Linked DNA regions of Mus musculus. The protein of the gene in region 1 purifies or fractionates together with the protein of each later gene. This does not show direct contact. Links are inferred from orthologs where the notes say so. Each region holds a gene or a part of one and is shown in the gene's direction. Other genes may lie near its edges.

Region 1 (4,559 bases):
AAAATCTGGTCTTTGGGAGCTAGATACATAGTTTAATTGAAACGTTCTTGGCACCCAAACATGAGGATCAAGAGGTTGTACCCCAGCACCTATGTGAAAAGCCAGGAATGATGACATTTCTGTAATCCCAGCTCTGTCACTGACAGGAAGACTTCTCTGGAGTTTGCAGGCTAGCCACCAGCCTAGCCAGATCAGTCAGTTCCAGGTTAAGTGACTTTGCTCCAAATATGAGATGGAAAGAGATTGAAGACTTCCAGCACACACATACGCGGTCACACACACACACACACAGAGTAATAGAGTAATAAAAATAATTTTTAAAAAGAGTGCATTAAGTACTTTATGTAACTGGTTCCATCTTGGAGAATAAAAGGAAAGGTCATGATAATATTAAAGTAAATACTTAAGAAAATTAGTTTTATAAAAAAGATTTGTTTATTCATTATGAGTATGTGTCTGAGTGTATTTATATGTGCCACATGCATGCAGGTGCCTGCAGAGGATGAAAGGGAGTTGGATCCCCTGGCTTGAGTTACAGGGGTTTGTAAGCTGTCCAGTGTGGGTGCTAGGAACAAAAATCTGTGTCCCTTGTAGGAACTGCTGTAACCACTGAGCCCCACAAAATAGGTTTTATCTTATTTTACTGTTCTAGCTTTTGAGTATACACTTTCCCACTGTTCTTTCAATTTGTATAATAAATATTAGTATTTAATACATTTGGCTATAGCTGTGTTTAACATTTGTATAGTTAGCCATATAGCTATTTATCCCTTAATTATATTTTGAATTTTAAGAAATTCTTTATAGTTAAGCACTGTGTTAATTATGCCTAGATGTTTTCTAGGTGTTGGAATAGAATGCAGCAGAAAAAAAGTTGATTTTATGTCTTTAAACACAGTGTATTTTTTTTCTGCTTTTATATGCTTCAGAAGTCTGTACTTCAGAATTCTAATGAATACAGTATCTCTGAGACAGAAATGTTGGGTGGGGAATACTTAGCTTTCGTGTTACAATTACAGTTGTTACTTTAGCAATGTGAGGAAATCTTTTTTTCTTAAGATAAGCTAAACTAAGGACTAGTCTTACTAGATTTAAAAGAATAAAATTTAAAAATGAAATGCTTAACAAAAAATTGCATTTTTATGTTTAAATTAGATATTGGGTGTTTTTAGGGTGCCACAGTTCGTAATGAAATGGATTCTGTCATCATAAGCCGGATAGTGAAAGGAGGCGCCGCAGAGAAGAGTGGCCTCCTGCACGAAGGAGACGAAGTTCTGGAGATCAACGGCATTGAAATCCGGGGCAAGGATGTCAATGAGGTTTTTGACTTGTTGGTACGTTCAGACTGTAGAAGATTTGATTCATTTAAAAGCTTGTTTTGTTATTAAACTTAGATCATTAGAGAACATTTTTTAAAATAACTAATGAGTATAAGGTAGTTTTTAGCCTAACTTTTACAGAATTTGTCAATTTTTGTTATTATATATTTAGTTTTAGGTTTATTTTTATTTACTTTGAGTTTTATTATAACTTTTATTTTTACTTTTACTATTTTTTTAAAGATTTGTTTCTATGTATTTCTGTACACCTTGTACATTCCTGGTGAATTAAATTAAAACTCAGTTTCTTATTCACACTAGCTATAGTTGAACAAGATTGATTATGTAGTTAATGGCTGTTGTCTGAGATAGCCACTACACATCTCTGTTGAGTAAATTATCCTGGACAGTGCTGGTATACTTTGGTACTCACTTTTAATTACCTTCTTAAAAATAATTTTCTAAGATTTACTTACTTTATGCCTTATGAGTGTTTTACCTGCATGAATATGTTCCACATACATGACTGGTATCTGAGAAAGTCGGGAAAAGACATTGGATTCCTTAAAGCTGGAGCTACATATGGTTGTGAGCCAAAATATGGGTGCTGGGAATCAAACCGAGATCCTCTGCAAGGGCCACAAGTGCTCTTAACTGATGAACAGTCTTTTGTTGTTTTTTGATTGTTTGTTTTGAGGTCTCATTATGAAGTCCTAGCTAGCCAGGAACTCACTATGTAGACTAGGCTGGTCTGAAATTCAGAGATATACCTGTCCATGTCTCCTAAGTGCTGGAATTAAAAGCATGTGCCACCATGCTTAGCCTCATTGTCTTGAAAATGATGTTTAATCATATTGTATACAACACAACATATGATTTTTCTTTTTCCTTTTTGAAGGCAAGGTCTGAAATAAAACACATTATATAGCCCAGACTGACCTTTTTGGTGATTCTCCTCCCATGGCACCAGCCAGTACTCCCCTCTACAAACCCATGTGCATATTCTTAATCATTCAACATGAGGTGATACAGTAGTATGTCTCCTACCTGCTGATATCTATTGTAAAAGCTAGAAAATATCCATGTCCCTCTTTCCACCAAATCTCTGCTCATACATAGCTCTGTAGAGCAAAGTGCCATTGATGGTCACTCATGGTCCATTTGATTGGTACTGGCTTGCACTGTGCACTGTTTGTATTTTGTATAAACATTATGAAGAATGCTGTCTAGTCTGGATATGTCTGAATACAGCTAGTGCTGTACTGGGCAGGAATTATGAATCTAGCTGCACAACTCAATACAGTAAACAGTGGACAGGAAGACTAAATAATGAAAGTAGCTAGGGATGGGAAATGTTTTCGTATAGGACTGAGGGAATTCTGCCATCATCCTGTTTAAAGTGTGTTAATCATAAGATCATGGGAGATTTTTAAAGTATTTTAACCTTTCTGTTACAGTCTGATATGCATGGTACTTTGACATTTGTTCTGATTCCTAGTCAACAGATCAAGCCCCCTCCTGCCAAAGAAACTGTAGTAAGTAATTTTAAAATTACTTATTTTAAAATTGTTTATTCTTCTTTGACTTATGTCTAATTTTCTGTATCAGAAACTTCACTGAATATAGTTTGTTCAAGTAAAAACAGAAATCACGTAATTGTATTTAAATAAGTATAAAAATCAACTTTTAAAATGTAGTAAACTCTGAACTTTTTAAAAGTAAAATATACAACATAGTTCAACTTCAGACTAACAGTGTTGTTTGTCTTCAGGTATAATTAAGTTTTGCTCAGTCACATAGAGAAGGGTACTTTAACAAATGTGTGTAAGTCATTACTCTGGTGTATTTCTATCTACTAAGTATTTAACACAGCTCTATTAAATGATAGATTTGATTACTGTACAACCTAGCAATTCCTGGTAATAGAACAATCGTACATGAATATTCAGGCATGTATTATTTATAAGACCCAAAATATAAAAACAACTTAAAAATAGCAACAGCCACCAGCAATAACTTGAAAATACAACATAGTTTATCTGTCTGTACACTGAAATCTTACTTGATTGAAAAGGGCTGAGGTGTGAGTATATGCTACAAAATAGATAAGCTTGAAAAATTTATGGCAATCACAAGCCCTTTACTGGTTTATTTACATACAGTATCCAAAATAGGTAAGCCCATAGAAACAGAAAAATTTCAGTGGCTCCTTAGATGGAGATTTGGGAAAGAATGGAAATAGCTCCTTATCAGTATTTGGTCCAGAAGGTTGAAAATATTCTAACAATATCAATGGTAAGCCTCTGTCTCTGCATATACTAAAACCATAAATGGTGTAGCATATTAACTACATCATAAGCAATTAAAAATGAGGTTTTAAGTTCCTAAATTGACATAGAAGCCTGATCTTTATATATTTGTTATTTTTTATCATTATTTTTGTTTAGTTATCATATCAAATCATGGTTTTATCATAACATTTTCATACATGTATCATACATTTTCATACATGTATAGCATTCTGCTTTGCTCATAGTCACCACAGGTGTGTTGTTTTATTTAGCTCTTTCTGTTTTCTGTTTTGTTTTGTTTTTTTCCAGAACATACTGCGGTCGGTGTTGCGTGTGCAACCTTTTTTATGTTTAGAATTCTTTGTAGGAAGAAACATGAGGAAACAGACTTGGCCTCTGAATTTAGTCATTTCTCTGTACTTGCTATGCCTTTCCATGTGTCTGTCCTGTAAATAAGGCTCAAGTGTGAAAAGAGGCTCTGCACACTGAAGAGGGTTAGAACATGCTGTCTTCTAAATGCTCCTGATAACCCATCCTTCCTCAGTAAATGATTTTTGTCTTTTGAGAATGAGTGTCAGAGGTTGAGGTATATTTTATCAGCTTTTCTTTTCTGCTGTTCATGCAGTTATAATAAAAGTTATTTCTTTTACAGTTACACATTTATTTTTTTAAGGTGTGCATATGCAGTACAGCATCTACATGGTCATCAGGGAGTCAGTTCTCTCCTTCCACCTTGTGGGTCTCAGAAATCAAAATTGGGTCGTCAGGTTTGGCAGCAAGCCCTGTACCCACTGAGGTATCTTGGTGGCCTGTTAAAGTTACTTTAATAGATAAAACTAGCATGCTATATTGATACTGCTGCTTCTCAGTTAATGTGGTATGTTGTCACTTGTTTTCAGCAAATGCAAAATCAGAGTCCTGAAATCATCCATTCATCACAGCTGTTGGT
Region 2 (5,273 bases), on another chromosome or scaffold:
GACTGCCATGTGAGTATGAAAACAAAGACTGAGTGTGATGGTTGGCATATGTTCTGCCCAGGAAGTGGCACTATTAGAAGGTATGGCTCAGTTGAGGCAGGTGAGGCCTTGTTGGAGTAGGTGTGTCACTTGTGGGTGTGGGCTATCACAGCAACTTCCTAAGTGCCTGGAAGTCAGTCTTCCACTTGCAGCCTTCAGATGAAGATGTTGAACTCTCAGCTCCTCCTGCACCATACCAGCCTGGATGCTGCCATGCTCTTGCCTTGATGATAATGGACTGAACCTCTGAACCTGTAAGCCAGCCCCAATTAAATGTTGTCTTTGTAAGACTTGCCTTGGTCACGGTGTCTGTTTACAGCAGTAAAACCCTAACTAAGATGCTGAGTAGCACAAGTCAGGAACACCAGAGACTTCCAGAAAACTGCTAGAAAGCCAGGCAGAGACAAGGAAGGGTTCCTGTAGATTAGAAATGAACATAGTACCTTTATTCCTGACTTGTAGCTCTCAGATTTGTGAGGCAATTATCTGTGGTTTTAAAACATTCCGCTTGTTATACTTCACTATGGAAGCTCTAGAAAACAAGGAGGGAATTCTAGTTTGAGAATTATTCAATTTTCTGTAACAGTTTTATAGCTTGCAGAGTCCTTCCAGCTGTGTTAAGGAAAGAAAGTGCATCCTGTTTCAATTTCTAGTCCTTAGAAGGTGACCTTTTATTCTCTGGAAACTTTTATGGTCTTCTGCGTAAGCCTGGAATTCTGGGATTTTTTGTGTGTTTATCATCAAAGACATGGAAAAAGACTACTCCAAAGGAGCAGAAGATAGAGATAAAGCTCAGATTTGTGTAGCTTGTACAAGTCTGCAGATTCGAGTCTCTGGAAAAGTAAGTAATGTGTAACCCCAGCTCATAAGAATAGCTCCTGTCAGCCAAGAAAACCTGTGTCATTTGTATGGAGCATGAGGAAGCTTGAAGGCTACTGCCCAGTGGTGGGATTCAACTACCTAATAACAACATGTAGAAAACTGCAGTTCAACGGAAAGAATGGGTCACCTGCAACCAGCTATTAAAACAATCCTGTCGTGCAGGTGTTACAAACTTAACACTGGACTATGATCTTTGCTACCCAAATCCAAGTTTCACAAAAATTATTTCATTGAAATTAGTGACTAAAAATATTTGGGTCCACCAAGTCTTCAAGAGTGGCCCTATGAGGATCTGGAGATGACAGACAGTGCTGTTAGGAGTACTGGCTCCTTTTCCAGGGGTCCTGGGGTTAGATTCCCAACACCCACAGGGCAGGTCTCAACCATCTGTAACTCCAGTTCCAGGGGAATAGATGCCCTCTTGTGGCCTCAGGTTTGTAAATGGTGCAGATATACATAAGGGCAAAACACCCATTAATATAAAAATTCTTACAAATTACAAAATGTACCCATAAAACAAAATCTATGCTTCATCCTTCATTCACAAGCAGATTTTGAATCGGCTAACTAAAAACAATACTTCGTGTATACCAAAGCGTTCTCTCCCGGTTGTTTTTTTTCCCACCTTTCTGCTCAAAGAGAGTTTTAGATAAAATTCGAATTGTAAATTTTTTAAATTAGATCAAGCTAGGATATTAAGAATTTATAAGAGGACTCGGACATGGGGAAACCAGCCTAGACGGTCAGAGGCTGCCGTCGGTCGGGTAAGGGCCGGAACTAAGGTCCTGACTTCCCCGAGGCAGGGGACACTCGGGACATCGGTTCTTTTCAACCTCAGGTTGTTGGAAGTGGACGAGCACAGACCCACGAAAGGAGGCCACCCGTCGGTCGCAAAGCGTCCCCGGCTACCGCTCTGCGTAGTTACCCGCATCCTTCTAGCTCTCGCGTTACTACCATCCTCGCCCTTCCGCTTTCTCGGCCTGGTCCACCGCGGCCCCTCTGTCGTCACTTCCTGTGGGTCTGCACCTCCGAAGAGAAGATGGCGGCGCTGGGCGAACCTGTCCGGCTGGAAAGGGGTGAGTGCGGCGGGGGTCGCGGCCGCGGTGGGTGGGGCGGGTCGAGACTACGAACCGCTCTGCCTGCGGGCCGGAGCGGAGGCAAGGTGACCCGGACGCTGAGCCCCGGAAGCCCTCGGCGGCCTCGGCGCCGGGCGCTGCTCGCGGGGGGCGCTGGCTGGCGTTTGAAAGCTCGCCAGAGCCGGCCGTTGAGGCTGGCGGCGGGCACAGCACGGCTCAGCGGCCTGCCCACGGCTGTAGGCACGGGCGCTCCCTGGGTCCGCACCGCAGCATCGGCTTTCAGCTTCATAGACCCTAAAAGCCGAGGCCACCACGCAGCCCGGCACTGTCTACGGTCAGTGTGCGCGAACAGATCAGTGTGGCCTCTTGGCCTGGTTCTGCCACTTGGCCGACACAGACACATTCCCGCAGAAACTCCCTCGCCCCCATTTAAAACTCAGACTCCTTCAGTACTGTGACCACAGCCTCCGGGCTTTGAGTTGCTCTTTCCTAACTTTCGCACCCCTCCAGCCACGGAGAGGATGCTTACAAAAACAAAAACAAAAAACAAACAAAAAAAAAACCCTCCAACTGACTTGATCTTGGGAAGGAGATTACATAACTAGGTGGAGTAGTGATTTGATTGTAAGTCACTTTTAAGTGCCATGCAATTCCATACTCATAAACCCTACACTTGGAAACCTGGTTGGTTGATTGCTTCTTAGAGCAAACAGCCAAGAAAAACCAACCCGATTGAAGAGAAGCCTGTGAAAAGACTCTCCCAGGGTCCAGTTGCAGCTTTCCAGTATTGTACTCTGTTCTGCCCCAACTTAAATTTCAGACAACTGGAACAAGCTTTGTACAATTCGGTAGTCATAGTAACCAGAAAGTACCAGTTAAGCATTTCGAGTGCTGTTGGCAAACATCGCCTGGGATGGAGTTTGACATTGCATATATTTAGTATTCACAATTATAATCTCAATATCGTCCAAGAAGGAAATCATTTTATAAAATTTGTGTATGTAATAGAACCTCTTTCCTCACACACTGTGCTGATTATGATTCGTTTTGCTTTTTATTGTAGTGACCATGGGAGCCTTTTGTTTCTTTTTAAATAAATGAACTTGTTTGTGACAGGGTAGCTTGGGAAAGAATAAGGTAGGCTTACAGCTGTGTCATTTTCCCCTCAAGTACTACGGTGTCAATGTGCTTTGAACACATTGTTACACAGGAACAAATCTGTTGGTGTTAACCAGAAGAGTTGCAAGTTTCAAACAAGATGGCGTTCTTTTGTATCTTTAAATGAAGCACAAAATGTGGACCTTTTCCCTCTGACATCTGCTTTTTGCTGTTAGGAAGTTTTTCAGTTAAACAGTAGAAAGCTCAAAATATTGGTAGGAATGAAGTCCTAGTTGGTTTTTGCCAGTTAGCAGGATAAGCAAGGCAGTTGGTGTCAAGTCCGATTCTGATCAAGAATTCTAACAGACCTAGCATATTCTCAAAAGTTCCACAGTACAATTCCACAGCAAAATACCAGTACATATGACCAAGTTCCTGTTTGCTTCAAAATCATCAAAGCACAATTCACTGGTGCACAAACTTAATGAGCATATATTTGGTATAGAGTGTTTAACTCATTTCTAAGTGTCTCCCTTCTCTCTACCCTCTCCTATCTCCTCTTTTCCTTCTTCCCACCATGTTGTATTGAGTTGAGAGCCTTGTACATATTAGGTGAGCACTCTGCCACTGAGCCGTTTTCCCAGCTGTATATGTAGGATTTTAATGTGGATAATGTATTGTGACTGTAAATCAACAACTGCTGAAACAACATTTACTAGCCATTCTGGTGGTGGGACATCAGAGCAAAGCTGGTCTGTTTGATTAACTGATTAATAGCAGTTTAAACTTTTATTATCTAAAACTGAATCAACTTTTTGCTTCTCTACTAAGTTTATTTGGACTTTTTCATAAACAAATGCAAAGTCCTAACTAATTCTGTGAAGTAAATGCCTGGTATTTTGTTGTTGTTGTTGTTGTTGTAGTTGTTGTTGTTGCGGGATTAAAGGTGTGCGCCACCACGCCCGGCTAAATGTCCGGTTTTTAACGTGGCATGAAATCAAAACTTTCCTCTAGTTAAGTCAAAGTATGCAAGGATCAGAATATATAGGATAGTATATAGACTTATATAGACTCTAAGGTATCCTAACCTTTGGAGCCAAATGAGCACAATTCAAACTTACTTAATTAAATTTAATTAGAATTTACTGCTACTTAATTAGCAATAAGAATATACTGAGGCTGGGGTTCAGAAAAACCTTAGGAAAAAACTCAGAACAGAGATTGTGATTAATAGTGTTATAACATGAAGTTGAGTTTTCTAAAGTTCTTTGTTCACATTTTTTACATTCCCAATGACAGTTATCTAATATGCTAAATGTGTCTGTGTGTGTGTGTGTGTTTGTAGCTCTTTCATATTTTTTTCTTTTTAAGTTGTATATGTTGGGAGACTTTGGAGAGGGGCGTGGCAGAAGAGGGTGTCAGGTCCGTGGAGGTTTAGGTAATTGTGAGATGACCAAGTGGGTGCTAGGATTCAGGAAGTGCTGAACTATGTCTTTGGCCCCTAATACTTTAATATTTCTCTGTATAGCCCTGGCTGTCCTGGAACTCACTCTGTAGACCAGGCTGGCCTCAAACTCTGAAATCCGCCTGCTTCTGCCTCTCAAGTGCTGGGATTAAAGGTGTGCGTCACCACTGGCCGGCTTAATATTTCTTAAAATTAATCCATACCAAGGAGACATACATCTGTGCTTGTGAAAGCGTTTTATTTCCTTTCCCCATATGAGGAAGGCAGTATTATTGCTGTTTTACAGTGAAAGACCATAAAACAGGCTAGGAAACTTTTCTGAGGTCACAAGCATTAGGACCAGGTTGATAAAGCTATTTTCGTTTTTTCCTTTTCCTTCCTGTTTTGTAAACCCTATCTGGACATGTCTGAGTTAAAACACTGTTAGCAAACCTCTCAGTTAGCTGCATTTCCACATGTTACTGAAGAATCTGAAGGTTCCCTTCAGGAAGTCAGCACATGGTCTCTTGGGTTTTTATTGGGTTTTGGTTTTGGGTTTTTTTGTTTGTTTGGGTTTTTGTTTTTTGTTTTTCTTCGTTTTTTGTTTTTTCCTGCTTTGGTTACAAATGAGTTGATCAGGTAAATTTTTATTGACTAAGTATTTTAGCTTTTCTTATCTAATGTAAAGATTTTTCCCCTTCTACCATTTATTCTTCATCTTTGGAGAATTTGGG
Region 3 (4,559 bases), on another chromosome or scaffold:
AAATTGAAGTCTCATGAGCCAACAGAAGTCTGAAAAGTGTTGGCCGTTTTTGGCCTTAATTTTTCTTGGATTTTTTTTTTTGTCCCCCTGAGATAGGGTCTTACTGTGTAGCCCAGGCTGTCCTCAAACTTGAATCCTCCTGTCTTGGCCTCCCGAGTGCTGGGATTACAGGTATGTGGTACCACATCTGACACTTTTACCACTGTTCTATAATTATAAAATTAGTACTTGTTTTTGTGTATTTTTATTGTAGTGGAGAGAATAAAACTTGAGAGTCTCACATGCTATTCTACCACTGAACTAAAATCTTAAGTCCGTATTTTTTTTTAATAAAAATTCAAACAACCCCAAAATCTATAAAGTAAAAGAGACTAATTTTTGTTATTATTTTTCTCTGGTGTTGGGGATTGAATCCAGGCTCTCATGCATACACGCTCTACCACTGAGTTCTAACCTCAGTCCTCAAAGGCTAACTTTTATATTCCTCTTTTCTATTTTCTGGAAGCAATAACTATTGCTTCCTAAATTTTTTTTTCTAGAAAATTCCCCAGTGCACACGTTTCTGTCTTACAGAAGTATGAAAATAACCCAAATATCCCTTAAGTGCTGCGTTTCACAACACTTGTGCATGTTGTACAGTTTTCCTGTTTTATACAAAGGGTAGATTTCCCAGCATGCTCAGTTCTTACATGGATTCAAGATGTCACTCAATTCCAACTGTACCTGTTTCAGGAGTGAGATGCAGATAGCTGTCTGCTGGAGGAGCCCTAGCCAGCAGGTAAATGTCACTTCCCCTCACTTGACGGAACACTGCCAACATGCTTGAAGTGTCGATATAGGAAACCACTCCTGAGTGCATTTTTACAGCCTCTTACTGAAATTCTTATTGTCCATCGAAGTAAAATTCAGTCTCAGAACACGCTTATTTTGAATAGCAAGTGGTTTGTTGGTAAGCAAATGGTTTTGATGCCAGGAATATGTTCCCTTGAGCAGGAGAGAATAATGAAATGCAAAGAATATTTGCTGGCCATTAGAGATGTCATGTAGAACCACAAATCTCTCAGATTTAGAGAAGATTTATCCTCTAGTTCATTGTAGTCAGGATCATATAGCCTGCCCTGTTGAATTAGGTTTTTAATCACATGGTAACCAAACATGACCTGCAGGTGCATAGTTATGGCTTTTAAGAAGATATGATGGAGCTAGGCATGTAGGTGGACTGTATAGTGTGAGCTTAGTGTGCACAAGGGTCTGATCCACCACACTGGGGTGGTCCAGAGTCCTAGACTCTGGTGATGATCTGCTTCTAATAATTGCCTTGAAAATATGTGCTTTTAAGTCCATGAAGACACTTTTTTATTTTTAAAGCACCATACTTAAAAAAAAAAAACCTGGAAAATTCTGATATATATATATATATATATATATATATATATATATATATATCCACATATACATATATATATATATATAAATTTTTTTTTCTAAATAAAGTTTGTCTGTCTTTCCTTCCTTCTTTCTTTTTACATTTGTTTTTCCATGCTTACTTTAGTTATGCTTACTTTAGTTTTATTTTTATGTATTTCCTTTCAGATTGGGTCTTGCTGGCCTGGAACTCAAGGAAAACTTCTCTGTCTTGGAAGCCTTTTTTTCATAAACTTTTCTTTACTTGGGTAAACAAAAGTGTCTCTGTCTCCTGTTTCGCAGCCAGCCATGCCCATGACTCTATGGATTCTCAGACTGTGCCTGACATTTTAAGATAAAGAACTCTGTTAAAGTGTATTTGCTAAGAGGACTACAGCCAGGGAGCCTCCAGAGGCTGAAGGAGAGAGCCACATGCTGTGATGTTTTTTTCTTTTTCTCTTCAGCATACTCTGACTTAGTCATCATTTCAGTGACTAGTGAGAATTGACGTTTGCAGGAGTTTCTCTATGAAAAAGAGCGTAAAAACTACTCATGTGCGTACATCATTGTGCTGATATATATATATATATATATATATATATATATATATATATATATATATATAGAGAGAGAGAGAGAGAGAGAGAGAGAGAGAGAGCACGAGTGCCACCCACTCAGAAATTGAAATTCTGGGGAAAGAGAATGTAAATTAAATGTACACGTCTACATTTGTCCTTCTAAAAGATCATGTAGATTTGTCCTCTCCGCCTTCTTATCAGAGATATCTGCAGTCCAGGTTCTTGTTATTCTCTGATGAACTAGAACATACCAGGCTGACATTCAGCTATAACAATGGCATCCTACAATTTTGAGCTTGCATTCTTTGCTTTATTGATCTTGCTAGATTAATGGCCATCAGACTGGTGGTTTGGGGCTCTGTGCTGGTATGGAGAAGGATGGTGCCATGCTGGGTGTCCTGTTTGTGTAGCTGCCTGTTTACTGTTGCCAGAGCTGTGCAATTCTGATGCTGAGAAGTGTTTCTGAGATGTCCTGTTCACAGGTCCTTGGGGGAATTTTCACACTGGGGAACACTTTCATGGACCGCTTGGACCTTTACCAATGCTGATGACAGCCTTGTTAGTTGTGTTGTTGACACATATCCCTCGTAGTCTAACCTGGCCTTGAATTCCTGATTCTCCTGTCCTGTCCTGTCCTGTCCTGTCCAGTCCTCCCAAGTGTTGGGATTATAGTCACGCATCACTTGTAATGTGTTTTATGTGGTACTAGGGATGAGACCTGAGGCATCCTGCGTAGTCATGGACTCTGCCACCCGAGCCACTCCCCCACCTCCCATCCCCAGCAGAGTAGTTTCCGGGTTCATCCTTACAGTTGTGTCAGCAACCCTTCCCCCAAGGGTTATATAACGCTCATTAGTTTATCCACTTGTCTGTGATTGGGCATCTGAGTATTCCTACTTGGGGCCTTTTACAAATGGTATTGTGTTCTCTCACATATGGGTCATATTTTTTTTCGTTACTCTTGGTAAATGTTTCTAAGCAGGAGGAGTGTGTTATTAATTAGTACTTTTTAACTTTATAAGAAACTACTTATGATGCCAGGTGGTGGTGGAGCACATCTTTAATACTGGTGCTCAGTAGGCAGAGGCAGGCAGATATGTATGAGATCGAGGCCAGCCTGGTCTAAACAGGGAGTTCTAGGACAGCCAGGACTACACAGAGAAACCCTGCCTCAAAAAACCAAAAGCACAAGAAAAAAGAAGAAGAAGAAGAAAAAGAAACTACTTATGATTTAAACTATAAAAATTAAGTAAAAATAAAATATCAAGTACTTTCCCCAAGGGACTGTGTCATTTTATTTTCTTTCTGGCATGATGTGCCTTTCAGCCTTGCCAACACTCACTCTGGTCTTGTTAAAATTTCCTCATCTGAGTAGACATGCGTTAGTGCCTTATTGTGGTTTTAGTTTGAATTTCACCCAGTACAGTCTTAATAAAGAACGCTCTGAAGTTTGCTTTAGTTTCCCCATAGGACTGCAGACATCTGTAATGAAAGTTAATTTTTTCCTTTAGACTTTTTGGAAGTGATTGAAAAGAATATCCCAAAATGCCTGAAAACCCTGCTGCAGGTATAGACGCTATATATTTTTATTGTTGTTATGTAATGATTCAAAAATGGATTGTGAGATGGTGTCTGACTTGAGCTCTGATCACCTTTCTCCAACCAAGAGAAGATGCAGGTCCTGCAGGTCCTGGATCGCCTTCGAGGGAAGCTGCAGGAGAAGGGAGACACGACGCAGAACGAGAAGCTGTCTGCGTTCTACGAGACGCTGAAGAGCCCTCTCTTCAACCAGATCCTTACACTGCAGCAGTCCATCAAGCAGCTGAAGGGACAGGTAAGTTGCTCAGCCGGCCTTACCTGGGTGGATTCCGACCAGCAGGAATACAGGAGGAGCCGGGAGGATTGCGACTCTTAGATTAGTAAAAGCTGTGTGGGGCCTGAAAGCTGTAGATAGCATCTGTGGATGGTATAAATATTGATGAAGTTTATGCTAGGCTATGGGATGTGATAAATTTGTAAAAACCAAATGCTTTAGAATCTCAACATTTTCTTCAAAGTTATAAAATAGCTTTAACCTCCCTCCTTCCTTCCTTCCTTCCTTCTATTCGTCCATCCTTCTATCCGTCTTTGGTGCTGAGTTCAAGTCGAGGCTTTGCGTATGCTGGAACTCTATCTACCACTGTGCTCCATTCTCAGCTCTTGGCATTTATTGTCTATTTACAATTTTTGATACATTTTTTTGTATGAGTTATGTGTGTGTGTATATATATATATGTGTGTGTGTGTGTATGTAGTGTGTATGTATATGTAGTATGTGTGTATGTATGTGTGTGTGTGTGTGGGGGCAAATTGATTCCCTCCTTAGGCAATGAGGGTTTCAGAGATCCAACTTGGGTCATCAGGCTTGGCAGCAAGTGCCTCTATCTATTAAAGCACCTTGCCTTTTCTCTTCCTCCTTGTTAAAGAACGAGTATACTAATTGATCTTCATGTGTATGTGTTTGTGTGGGAGGGTCCATATGCTGTGTGTATGTGTTTGTGTGGGAGGGTCCATATACTGTGTGTATGTATGTGTGTG
Region 4 (4,559 bases), on another chromosome or scaffold:
GACACTGGAAGACTCCTCAGGGACAGTCCTGCACCGTCTCATCCAAGAGCAGCTGCGCTACGGCAACCTGACAGAGACTCGCACTCTGCTGGCTATCCAGCAGCAGGCCCTGCGGGGTGGGGCTGGAGCTGGGGGCACGGGGAGCCCCCAGGCTTCCTTGGAGATCGGAGCACCCGAGGACAGTCAGGTGCTGCAGCAAGCCACCAGGCAGGAGCCCCAGGGCCAGGAGCATCAGGGTGGAGAGACCCACCTGGCAGAGAACAGGCTGTACCGGCTGTGCCCACAGCCCAGCAAAGGAGAAGAGTTGCCCACCTATGAGGAGGCCAAAGCCCATTCGCAGTACTACGCAGCGCAGCAGGCAGGGTCCCGGCCGCATGTTGGGGACCGGGATCCTAGAGGAGGGGTGTCCGGAGGCGGCCGGCGACAGGATGAAGCTCTTCGAGAGCTGAGGCATGGCCATGTGCGCTCCTTGAGTGAACGGCTTCTGCAACTGTCCCTGGAAAGAAACGGTGCTCGGGTCCCCAGCCACATGAGCTCTTCCCACAGCTTCCCTCAGCTGGCCCGCAGCCAGCAGGGCCCCCAACCCCGAGGGCCCCCAGCTGAGGGCCCAGAGCCCCGCGGGCCACCACCTCAGTACCCACACGCTGTAATGGCTCAGGAGACTGCGGCTGTCACTGACCCAAGATACCGACCCCGAAGCAGCCCACACTTCCAGCATGCCGAAGTCAGGTAACCCCAGATTTCTTTCTAGTTCGGTCTCCCAGGAGGAGGAGAACCCCAAGATCATATATATCGTGGATCTCAACTGTCATGATCCCAATCCCAGGGCACCCCCACCAGTTCCTAGGGCTGTCTGATCTAGATCTACCCTCTCCTGTCTTGAGAAGGGAGAGCTGGGGGGGCTGGAGGGTAAGGGGATTTAGCTGATCCAGTCATGGTAGCATGCCTGTAATGTTTAGGTGAGGCAGGAGGATCACACCACCAGCCTGGACAACGTAGCAAGACTGTCTAAAACAAAAAGAAACTGACATCATTGCTTTAACTCAAAATATACATAGCATTGTCTATAGCATTCAAATAAGGAGGGCTCCCAGGGATGTGAATGGGGTTCAAAGGTGAGCATTTCTTTTTTTCTAAGAAAGAACTAACTAAAGACAATAGGAATCCTTACCAAACTTCTCCCGAGTTAAGTAGGCCAAAGGTGGAACTTATTGAAGGTTTTTAAGAGAAGGTGGACATTTTTTGTTGTTGGCTCATCATTGGGAGGTGTTGCTATTGAGGCTGAAAGAACTAGGTGGCTCGCTGGGCCACTTCTGTATAGTTACTGTCTGCCAGTTAATTACTTACTAGCTTTTCCCTTGTGCTTATGGGCCTAGATGAGTGAGTGAGTGAGTGAGTGAGTGAGCTGCTTTGGGGGGAAAGGGGGGGCTCAGGATGCTGTTGGACCAGAGTAGTGACTTGGCTTGACTTCCTGTGAAGTGAACTCTCGGGGAGTGTGTGTGTGTGAACTCTCGGGGAGTGTGTGTGTGTGTGTGTGTGTGTGTGTGTGTGTGTATTGGAGGGCATGATATGATTGGCTCTTAAGAGATCAATACTAGCCTTAGAGAATGGGTCATTGGAGCTAGGCTGGGAGCCCAGTTAGTATAAGCAGGAAGCCAGATCATTGCAGGAGTCCATGTTCCTAGAAATGAGGGGCTGCCTTAGTCATCTTTATTGGCCCCTGTGCCTTTTCCAGAGAAACAGGCACCATTGCTGTACCTCCTTTGGGGTGGGGTGAGGTGGGCTCCAAGGAACCTGGCTGGGGACCCTCTGGGTTCAAAGTCAGTCACCCTTGCTGAATCCTTATTTGGTCCCTCCATTTCCCACCAATTCGGTTTTCTTCACTCTGGAAGAGAATAGCCGCCTTGGGCCTAGTAGGGGAGCCAGGGGAGCGGGGATGTGTGGGGGTGTGGGGGGGGTGGAGCCTCGTGGGTTTACTCTAGCCTCCACTCCCCCAGACCCCCACCTCACCTCCCTTTTCAGGGCCGGTCAGGAAGAGTTTCTTCTTTTGGACCAGCCCTATTGAACCCTGCCAGGAAAAGATAATATCCAGGCAAGGAAGTGGGCTGTTTTGCAGGAGAACAAAAAGATAGGGAGGAGGGCGGTGGGAAATGGAAGAACCAGGAGCAAGTGTGAACGGAAAGGAGTCGTCGCCATTCTTCCCTGGAGCTCTCGATCATTCTCGAAGAATGTCAGTTGTGTCTGCCTGGCCTGTGGTAGGGAGGAGGGGGACAACAGTTATCTGAGGCAACCCTAAGAGTGACCACACTTGGCAGCAAGGGGGAGTTTAGTCAGTCTAGTGGCAGCCCTCTTCTCTGCACTCCCTGGAGCCTATAGGAGGAAAAAGGATGGGCAGGCTTTAGGGACTGAGTCAGGGGCTCAAAGAACAGGGGAGCGAGCCATAGGCTAGAGGGGTGATTTTGGACACTGGGGATGGCAGAGGGGGCATGAGAGATCCAGAAGTGAAATCCAAACTTCCAAGAGGCTTCTAGAACATTCTGAGTACAACTGAGAAGGCACTTGTGACACTTGGGGGTCACAAGGCCCCCAGAAAGAGCCTCTGGCTACCTGGGCCTAACTGTTCTCTAAACATTAGAGTGTAAGGATGTGTTACACTCATGGCCAAGGGCCGAAAGAACACAGTCCTGAACTCTGCTATGGAGCTAATCCAGGGGTTGCCCCTTAACTGAGGTGATCACCAACAGAGATGGAAGCTAGACAGTCATGGGTGAACCTGCTGTTACCAGCCATTTGGTCAAGCCTGGCTTCTGTGGCTGGAGACCCTTGTGATTTCGCCGACACAGGTGCCACTTGGCAGCTACAGCACTGGTCTGCTGAAGGCCTAGCAGCTGGAGCTGAAATCTGTTCCCCCTGGCATCTGATTCCCTGCTCTAACCTTAGCTGGGGTCTTGGAAAAGAATTTCGGTAGTTGTGGGTAGCAAGACCCTTGAAACAAAGAGGAGAAAAAACTCAGGTGAGCCGTTTTAGCTGACATGGCTTACCTGCTAGAATCCACTAGTAAGTGCCCTTCCTGGGGCCTGGGGACTCTGTGTGGCTTCCATCCCAAAAGATCCTTCTATCAATTCAAAAGGTCATGAGCGCGTCTTTAAAGGTAATATTTAAGCTGTATTTGCTTAGGACGACCCAGGTTGCTTGAACAGAATGAGCATCTGGATACAGCGCCACCGCCACCCTACCCCACACCCATCCTGCTCTCTGACTCTTGAGTCTTAGGCACATACCTTGTGGCACAGGCCCTCCCTCTGGTGGCTGCCTAACACTGGGGAGGCTCAGTCACTGGCAGTAATAGTCAGAGTGCGCGTGCACACGTGCGTGCTGTGTGTCTCGGGGCTCTGAGCTTTATTCACCTCTTCTTTCCCAGGATCCTGCAGGCCCAGGTACCACCGGTGTTCCTCCAGCAGCAGCAGTACCAGTACCTGCCACAGCCCCAGGAGCACTCTCCACCCCTCCACCCGGCAGCTCTGGGCCATGGACCCCCAAGCTCCTTTGGTCCACCTGCAGTGGAGGGACCACCCAGTGCCCAGGCCACCTTGGGCAGTGCCCACCTGGCCCAGATGGAGACTGTACTGAGGGAGAATGCCAGGCTGCAGAGGGACAATGAGCGATTGCAGAGAGAGCTGGAGAGCACTTCAGAGAAGGCTGGCCGCATAGAAAAGGTGGGGACTCCAAGGACACTCAGAGCGGTGGCCGGTGCAGAGGGAGGCAGAGGGGCAGGAAAGCCTATCAGGCTACCTTTTGCACCATATTCTCCTACACACACCCCCAGACACACACACACACACACACACACACACACACACACATCCCAAGCTGACTCCAGACAGCTGAGGACCGACCAAGAGGCCTGCCCTAATGCATGAGCAGTTGCTGGCCAGTAGTGGTTAGAAAGGACTCATTCACTAGCTCCCTGCACACTTGTACCCTCACCCTGCACAGCCCCTCCTGTGGACACCTCCCACAGAGAGCCCTTTGTGCACCCACACAACAGCCAGTCTGTTCCAGGCCAACACTGGCCAAAGAGAAAGCCCCTCCTCTCAGGGAAAAGAAAAAGCAACGCATTGGCAAAGCAAGCCAGCTAGGAGCACGTGGAAGACCTGTGGCTTCCAAGTGGGAGGGGCAGCCACATGCTCTGGGCAGAGGCAGCTCAGGCTGGGGTCTGGCACCCCCACTTCCTCGGTGAAGCCTGGCCAATTGTGTACTAAGGTTCAACTTTAGCAATAGCCTCAGGCTTTCCACTTGCTGTCTATCTACAGTGTTCTGGATAGGCTGAGCCACCTAGGTGCTCTCATCCCTGGTCCTTTGTAAACACTAGGCATGGGGCATGCTGGAGGTAGCCCCCTTGTAGAGCAGCTAGCCCAGTGTCTAGGCAGCAGTCTGGTCTACCTAAGAGGCTGCAGTCCTGTGGCAATCTCAGTAAAGTCACTGGCCTCCCTCCCTAGGACCCTTCCTGAAGTTGAATTAATTATCTGTCTCTTACAGCTGGAAAATGAAATCCAGCG

What was found.
Region 2: the proteins of Mpp5 (region 1) and Lin7c purify together in Homo sapiens (affinity purification with mass spectrometry; 3 studies listed by BioGRID and IntAct, counting the BioPlex papers as one, with this or other methods). This does not show direct contact. The link is inferred for Mus musculus from reciprocal best matches to the Homo sapiens genes PALS1 and LIN7C.
Region 3: the proteins of Mpp5 (region 1) and Patj purify together in Homo sapiens (co-immunoprecipitation; 5 studies listed by BioGRID and IntAct, counting the BioPlex papers as one, with this or other methods). This does not show direct contact. The link is inferred for Mus musculus from reciprocal best matches to the Homo sapiens genes PALS1 and PATJ.
Region 4: the proteins of Mpp5 (region 1) and Amotl2 purify together in Homo sapiens (affinity purification with mass spectrometry; 3 studies listed by BioGRID and IntAct, counting the BioPlex papers as one, with this or other methods). This does not show direct contact. The link is inferred for Mus musculus from reciprocal best matches to the Homo sapiens genes PALS1 and AMOTL2.

What each region holds. Positions count from the first base shown.
Region 1 is NC_000078.6:78,818,032-78,822,590, forward strand, and holds part of Mpp5 (MAGUK p55 subfamily member 5), read left to right. Parts: intron 1-1,155; exon of another isoform or gene 1,156-1,172; coding exon 1,173-1,334; intron 1,335-2,776; coding exon 2,777-2,854; intron 2,855-4,559. UniProt on the Homo sapiens protein: Plays a role in tight junction biogenesis and in the establishment of cell polarity in epithelial cells.
Region 2 is NC_000068.7:109,888,925-109,894,197, forward strand, and holds the start of Lin7c (protein lin-7 homolog C), read left to right. Parts: upstream 1-1,953; 5' UTR 1,954-1,960; coding exon 1,961-1,997; intron 1,998-5,273. UniProt on the Homo sapiens protein: Plays a role in establishing and maintaining the asymmetric distribution of channels and receptors at the plasma membrane of polarized cells.
Region 3 is NC_000070.6:98,401,886-98,406,444, forward strand, and holds part of Patj (inaD-like protein), read left to right. Parts: intron 1-3,493; 5' UTR 3,494-3,527; coding exon 3,528-3,549; intron 3,550-3,649; coding exon 3,650-3,816; intron 3,817-4,559.
Region 4 is NC_000075.6:102,720,148-102,724,706, forward strand, and holds part of Amotl2 (angiomotin-like protein 2), read left to right. Parts: coding exon 1-729; intron 730-3,421; coding exon 3,422-3,716; intron 3,717-4,539; coding exon 4,540-4,559. UniProt on the Homo sapiens protein: Regulates the translocation of phosphorylated SRC to peripheral cell-matrix adhesion sites. Required for proper architecture of actin filaments.